2 linked regions of the Tribolium castaneum genome follow. The protein of the gene in region 2 purifies or fractionates together with the protein of the main gene of each other region. This does not show direct contact. Links are inferred from orthologs where the notes say so. Each region holds a gene or a part of one and is shown on either strand. Other genes may lie near its edges. The genes, in order: protein BCCIP homolog and eIF6.

Evidence for each region.
Region 1: the proteins of eIF6 (region 2) and protein BCCIP homolog purify together in Homo sapiens (affinity purification with mass spectrometry; 3 studies listed by BioGRID and IntAct, counting the BioPlex papers as one, with this or other methods). This does not show direct contact. The link is inferred for Tribolium castaneum from reciprocal best matches to the Homo sapiens genes EIF6 and BCCIP.

Annotation. Positions count from the first base shown.
Region 1 is NC_087395.1:14,256,419-14,259,444, forward strand, and holds protein BCCIP homolog, read right to left. Parts: upstream 1,648-3,026; 5' UTR 1,558-1,647; coding exon 1,462-1,557; intron 1,416-1,461; coding exon 1,161-1,415; intron 1,115-1,160; coding exon 617-1,114; 3' UTR 589-616; downstream 1-588. Other genes in the region: polycomb group protein Pc, read left to right, coding at 2,506-2,565. UniProt on the Homo sapiens protein: During interphase, required for microtubule organizing and anchoring activities. During mitosis, required for the organization and stabilization of the spindle pole.
Region 2 is NC_087394.1:11,178,834-11,183,325, reverse strand, and holds eIF6 (eukaryotic translation initiation factor 6), read right to left. Parts: upstream 2,983-4,492; 5' UTR 2,949-2,982; coding exon 2,842-2,948; intron 2,791-2,841; coding exon 2,529-2,790; intron 2,475-2,528; coding exon 2,298-2,474; intron 794-2,297; coding exon 612-793; intron 558-611; coding exon 548-557; 3' UTR 408-547; downstream 1-407. Other genes in the region: Rcc1 (regulator of chromosome condensation), read left to right, coding at 3,182-3,248, 3,299-3,498, 3,549-3,731. UniProt on the Homo sapiens protein: Binds to the 60S ribosomal subunit and prevents its association with the 40S ribosomal subunit to form the 80S initiation complex in the cytoplasm. Behaves as a stimulatory translation initiation factor downstream insulin/growth factors.

The sequences.
Region 1 (3,026 bases), on a different chromosome or scaffold from region 2:
AAATTTAGCTGTTTTTACCGTTTTTCATCCCAATTTGGTCAAGGAAAATGATCTCATTAATCAGTATTAATTTATTTTTGAACCTCCACCTAAGCATTATTGATCATTAGTGGCATTTATTTTTTTTATTTTAAGTGAAACTAAGTCTAAATACTAGAAGGCGAAGCAAAATTTTGTTTTAAATTAATTTAATTGCTTTGAAGAAAAGCAGGGAAGTTGGGGATCAAATTAATAAGCTAAGAAAAGTGTACTACGATTTTTACGAAAAATAGTTATTTAAATTTGCGTTCTGAGCTGCGAATACGGTTGAAGGTTTCAGCATATCTTTATCTTGAAAGGTTTATGATTCGTTTAATTTTTTACCAGTGGTTGAGTGCTAAACCAATTCAAACCTTCTCGGTTTAGTTAATTTTCTAGAACTTTGTCCCTTATTTTTTGTATTCAACTGTATTTGACTTGTGTTCACTGTCTTTGTTTATTTTTCTTACTCTAAAACATAGCTGTACTATGTGGCGTTGTGTCGCACCCTAGTTAGTATTTAAGTGTGTGTATTTCATGTAATAGTATTTCATTATAGAAAATATACACTTTGCTTTTAAAAAAAATTATTCTTAGCCTAGTTTGACACAAAATTTTGTATTTCGCTTATAATACTTGGAAGTTTGTCCGCTTTAAACAAAATGATTACTCTGTGTGGAATCAACTCTTTATCTTCACTTTGCCAATTCCCCGTCAGTCCTGTGTCACTTTTTCCGGCCACACTGTATTCAAACCTACAGTCAGCTTTCTTCCAGAAGATTTCTTCTTCATCATTTGAGAAGACGATTTCACTACCGTCGCTTTTGGACTTCCAGTTTTTACAAATCATTAAATAGTAATCAAACTTATAGCCGTCATTCTTCTTCCCCATTCTGTGTATTTCATCTTGTAATGCGTGTAGCATAGGAAGGGAGATTTTTGATGGTATGTTAACAAACCGCTCATTGATAATAAAACCAATTTTGTTTGAATTGTTTCCCACAATTTCTTTAAATAACGATTTAGCTTCAGGATCCGCCTGTTTCGTAACCTCATCATCAACTAACTTGTACAGTTGTTGAACACATGGTGTCTCCTGAAAACCCCCTATTATCCCCAGGTTGCAAAATAAACACAACCACCTTGTGTTGCGTTAGATTGATAACACTGGTGATACCAAACACATCAGACTCCTCCACCATCTCAATATCTTCCTCGTCGTCGCTATCGTTAAAACTTTGCTTCAAAACAGATCCAATTCCAGCCTGAGAAATAAGCATGTCACTCATTTGGCCCAAATCAACATGTGCAGTTAAAAATAACTGATTCAGTAACTGTTTAATGCCGTGAAAATCTTGGCCTTCGGGGTTTCGGCCTTCAAAAGTCGCTTGGATTTCCTACAAGAGCACGTGTCATAAGTATAACCCCAAAAACTGTACCCACTTGTTGGCCATGGTAACTCCCGGACTCGTCACTTTGATATTCCTCATCAGAGGCGGGTTTCGCGACCTTTCGCGACTTTTTCGAAGCCCCAGCCATGTTTTGAACTTATTTGCACTAAAAACTCAACTCTCAAGCCAACCGGTTTGTATTCCTAGGTTAGGGAATTGTCAAATCTCAAACAAGTGTCAGGGATTACAGTGGACCAGTACAAAAATCTAGTTTGGCAAAATAAAATCTGAAAAAAGATGAAGTTTAATTTAATATCAATTGATAGCTATTGGAATAATTATTTAAATTATTAAGGATTTAAAATTGCATTTTTAATCTTCACAATTGGGAAATCCCGGGAAAGCCGCAAAAAATGTATTTTTTTTTCAGTAAACAATCAGTTATTGGCAATACTGGGAAAAAGATAAAGTTTTAAACATAAATTACTGCTAACAACTTTGTCATTCTTTCACGAACCAAAAAATTATCATAATTATAGGCAATGAGCAAGTAACATTATTGTGGACAAAAAATTGTTATGTAACCTTATAGACACACTAAACATGTATATGTGATAAAACCCGCGTGAAAAAAAATTTAACTAAAAATATTCGACTTTTTTGAAATGTTGGAAGAATATTTTGAAAATTTGGTCGGCTGGACGAGTCCATTATCCCAGAGGGGTGGAAAGTGCTGCAAAGCGAGTGCGATAACCGCAAGAACATCCCCAAAGTCCTTTTTGTGCAAACTTCTGGTGATTTACTTGAAGATTATGTGTGATTGCCTTTTGTAAATCGCGAAATGAATTAATTTCGCCAAAAATATCTTTGCGCTGCGCGCACAGTGCATCCAACCGGGCACGTCAAATTCCCCAAAGCCAATGTGATGTGAGTGAGTTGTTGTGGACGCAATTTGTGAATTTCGCGGAAAACTCCGTATTGTTTTTCTCGGGAAAATGCTGAGAAAAGCTGAGTTCGATTTGTGGTTGTGCACTTAGATGAGTATCTGGTGCGCAATAATTTTCGGAGTTTTTATGCGTCCCCATCAGCCATAACAATGGAACTTGGTGACCATGTTTATGCCGCCGAAAGGATTATAAAAAAACGAGTCCGTCGGGTGAGTTTTCATCCTTGAAAATGATTATCCTTTTCGGGTTGTTTGGTGGGGGAAATGGGGGCTCCCGGCGGAGCTAACCTCGAATTTCCATCGACAGTTTGCGATGGGTTTGTTGATAAGGTTTGTGACTCAAGGGGTATTTCCTTACATAATTGGGGTTTCCTGTCACCCCTTCCGGTCTAAGACGTGAGTCACGGCTGAGGAGCTTCGGGGAGGAAGTCGTGGGGTTAATTAGGACGCCGTTTTCGGTTTTTTTCAATAAAAGTTGTCAAGAAATGGGGGTTGGGGCTGTAAGTCGTCATTATTGTTGCCAAGTGCCACATGTTGAGGAAGTTATGGTATAATAGACGAAACGGGTTTGACGATTGACTGACAATAAAAGCTTTACAAGCTTATTATTACGGTTTGGAGTCAATAAAGTAATCCAAGGTCGTAATTTATAATTTATGAACTGGTCGAAA
Region 2 (4,492 bases):
AAATTTGTAAGCATTTTGATTGGGCCGCTTCAGGTCGGCCATTATTATTACGGAAAAAGCCAATCACTTTAGATTTTTTGATTCATTCAAATTTATATTTTTGGATTTGATTGGTCCATTTAAGGGAGGCCATTAAAATAATGTGAGAAACCAATTACTTTGAATGTTTGCATTCATTCAATAAATTGATTGAATTAAAATTTTGCATTAATTAAGAAAATTTGGGGCCAGTAATTCGAATTAGTTTAATAATTCAAAATTAAATTTCAATTTTCTTTTTTGTAAATCTGACTGACTCAAGAATTCAAGCCTTATTGTATACCGTTTTTTCATCTTTTTTAGATGAGGGGTCTTTGGGGCACTCAAAAAGGGGTTTAATTCGTGTATAGAAATAAAACATAGAAAAATACGAAAAAATTGTTTATTAAATTATTGATATACATATTTGCAACATTTCAAAAACTGAGAATAGTGCGTATCACATGAATTTTTTTATATCATTACTCTGTTTGAAACGGACATAATAAAGTGAAGAATCATCTTTAATTTACGACATGCTGGAAAAAAATAAATGTAATAAGAACAAAAATAATTTTGTTTTAATTGAAAACCTTTCAATGATACTAGCCCTCATTTTTGATGTGATTGAAGAAGGTGCAGCTCCACTCAGTTTAAACACTGACTCAATTACTGACAACTCAGTGGAAGTTGTATCCATACCAGCAAACGCAGTCCAGTCATTTACAACCAAACCGGCACCAACCACTTCACTACCTCTGTTTACTGTTCCAGCCTGTTAAAAAAATAAATTTAAAACATAATTTCATGAGTCTTAATAATAAACATATAGCCAAGAGTGCCGCCAAGATATCATAAAATTTAAATTTAAATCACTGCTTGGATTTTTTCTCTTCGTAACAAATTACGAGAAAATTAATTATCCAAACCAAAGAAACAACGAATTCAATCATAATAGGCAAAAGATAATCCAATGTTCGTTTTTCTAAAAGGTGTTCAAAAAAAAACAGAAATCTTTATCCTGTTGTAAATTATTTTTTTAATTTTTAAAGGCATTAAAGCAAATTTTAAATAGTATGTTAAGAAAAAAAGTTACACTGCATGAGTGTCAATGACTCAATAATTCTATCGATTCTCTCATTTGCGAAATTTCACAAAATAATATGGTTTTCAAACGATGAATCCGTCATTTTCGAACCAAATTAATTATTTTTCAATTTAGAAAAATTTCTCTACAAAAATGTTGAGCTTACATACTCAAGAAGCAATAAATAACACAATTTTCGATACAATTCGGTTTTTTTGTCAAAATTTATAAGCTCTGAAAAAAATATACATTCCGACCAATTTTTTTACGAAATTTCAAGAAATTCATGTTGAGTAAAAATTTACAAAAAAATGTACCATTTTCGAACAATTTTGGTCAGTTCAGATGATTAATTAATGTAATTTTAGACCACTTTTGACTCAATTTAGTGATTTTCCAACCCAGTTTCTCCAAAAAAATCTTAAGTAACATCACTGTCGACACAATTTTTGTCCAGTTTTCGCAAATTAATTGTGTGTCTCGAAGAAAACGTACTTCGAAACGCATATAAAACACAGAATAGCATCAATTTCGGCTCCATTCGTTCACTTTTTGGTCTAAATGTCATTTTGAAGCCAATTTAGTGATTTTTCGGAACGGTTTAGCAAAAAAAAAACAACAAAATTATCTCAAAAACGTGGTGAAACTACCAAAAGATAAAACTATTCTCTTTGTTTTTATTTGGTTTGTAGTAACTGCACAAGGTAGAGTAACCAACAATGAAAAAAACGTAAACGCAAGAAATGTAAACAATAAAAAAATAAACATAAAACACCATATACATTAAAAAAATCAATCTACGAATATAAACAACCTGCAAAAGCATATTATGTACTAATAATTTTTTATAATATTTTTTGTGCATCCATACTTGCAACAATAATTAACTACTTAATTTTTTTGTTTATTGATATATTCTAGTAATTAAATAAAAAATATTATAATATTTGGTATTCATTCTGATTTATTGTTTTACCATTTGCCTTGATCGCCTTCTACAATTTAACAACACAAAAGTGAATATTTATTACACTTTTATGCATTTATTAATTATTTATGTTCAAAGTCATTAATCTTTACTCGTTTTGCAGCTTCTCATCCGACTTAAATAAAATACCAGTAAATTCTTTATTTTTCCCAGAAAGTATGAAATTTTCAGAGCACACAAAAACCACGATACAATGCAACTCACCACCAACGGCACTTGTAAAAGAGACGACAACTCCTCAAGATCCACAACACTTGTATTAGGGTGAACCAAGCCCCCTTGATTACTCAAAACACAATACGAGCCCACCAAAACATTGTTAGCCACTGTTTGCCTAAAAACTTCCACTTTCAAAGTATCTGCGATAATTTCCTCGGTTTCCTGCAATAAATTATTGCACAACTTTTGTTAACAAATTTGTTTTGTAAACCATACCCTATCCAAATCTGGATGTACAAGGGCAACATAGTCATTACAAGCTATAACATTGCCTAAAGCCGACAATCTCTCCTCCACACGCTGAACTTTAACTGAGTCAGGAAGCGCATTCCTAATGTGTTGCAATTCAGTATCAAAGGTTGTGTTTGGAACCAACAAACCGTTCTTATTTCCGACACACATTCGTCCTATTATTCTGCATCCTGCCAAGGACGCATGCACCACGGGTATCGTATCAGCAAAATCGCCCTCAAATGTGCTAAAATATTCAATTTAACACGACACCAAACCATGCTGTCCCAACAATTACCTGTAGAAATTTTCGGACCCGCCAATTGCAACCAAACAATATGCGTTAGTTAATTTGGCAAAAACACCAATTTCGTTGTTATTTTCAAACTGGACACGGAATGCCATCGTGCAATACAACACTTTTTCTACAAATTAATAAACGGGAAATGTGCTTAACCTCAAAAAAAACTAGAAATTTTCGTTGCGCACTGTTGGCGTGAATCGTTAAAGTTACCAAATCAAGCCGACAAAAAACCAAAAGTTACTAACCGACTAGCTTTTTGCCGCTCCAAGGTGAGCATCACTAACCTCAATTTTCCGATAATTTCGCTATATTTTAATAAAAAATTGTGCAAGTAATGGCCGGTAAACGACGTCGCCCTAGCACAACCGAAGCCGGAGCCACCAAGCCCAAGCGCGCGAAGTGTACGCCCTTGTAAACATGTACCCACCATAACCTAAAATTCTCATTCTAGTCACTTTAGACAGCGTGAAATTACCAGAGACTACTCGTGAAGGGGTTCTGCTTGTTACGGGAGCCGGCGACTGCGGCCAATTGGGTTTGGGGCCCGATGTGTTGGAGAAAAGTAGGCCCGCGCTAGTGCAAACAAGTGATGAAATTGTCGATATTTGCGCTGGGGGTATGCACACGGTTTGCTTGACCAAAGAAGGCAAAGTAATGCGGTTGCGATTGGGTTGAGTCGGTTTGCTTTATGTTGGTTCTAGATTTTGAGTTTTGGGTGTAATGACGAGGGGGCACTTGGACGTATCACGGAGGGCAAGGAGGATGCGGAATCCACTCCTGGCGAGGTTGAGTTGCCTGGGAAAGTTATACAGATTACGGCGGGGGATTCACATTCGGCTGCGTTACTGGACGATGGGAGGGTGTTTGCATGGGGGACATTTCGTGTAAGTAAGATTTAATAATCAAGATTTAAATTTTTTTTCTTGCAATTTTGGGACTCGTTTAAAGATTTTTAAATGAGAATCCCGGGTTAAAGTACTTTTTCTTTGTAAACTTGAGATGTGAAAGAACAGATTTTCAAAAAATTAAAATATGTATAGCTCAAATAACAACTTGGGACGAATGGTTTTGTTTAACTGTACTAGCAAAAAATATGCTCAACATAATAGGCGTGGTAACATATTTATTTTAAAAAAAATGTATTGTTCTAACAAAAAATAGTACCGGTTGAGAACCTCACAAATTCCGCTAGAATATACTCGTAGTTATTCAAAAAAAAAACTTCAAATAGTACTTATAATCTTGGGAATTTTTTATGACCACGTCACATATTTATTGCTTATACTGATTTTTTTAAATATTGTTTTAGATAAAGTGATTGGGCTAACTTTATCTCTACTTTGACTATTATTTAATATTTAAATCTATATTGCTTTTCCATTTCAAAAAATCTCAAAGCATCGACCATTTTGAGAATTTCTCTAAATTCTACTTTCGTGTAAAAAAAATTAATGTAGTTTTTTACATTTCACGCCCATACCATGAAAATTTGGGATAACATTAAAGCATCAAATTGAAGCGTGTTAGAACCTCTATCATTTGAAATATATTTTTTTTCTTTTGGGCAACTAGCAGTGTTTATTTTTTCACTGAAACTAAAACATGTAATATAATAATTAATTTACTTTTATGAAATACAGTATGA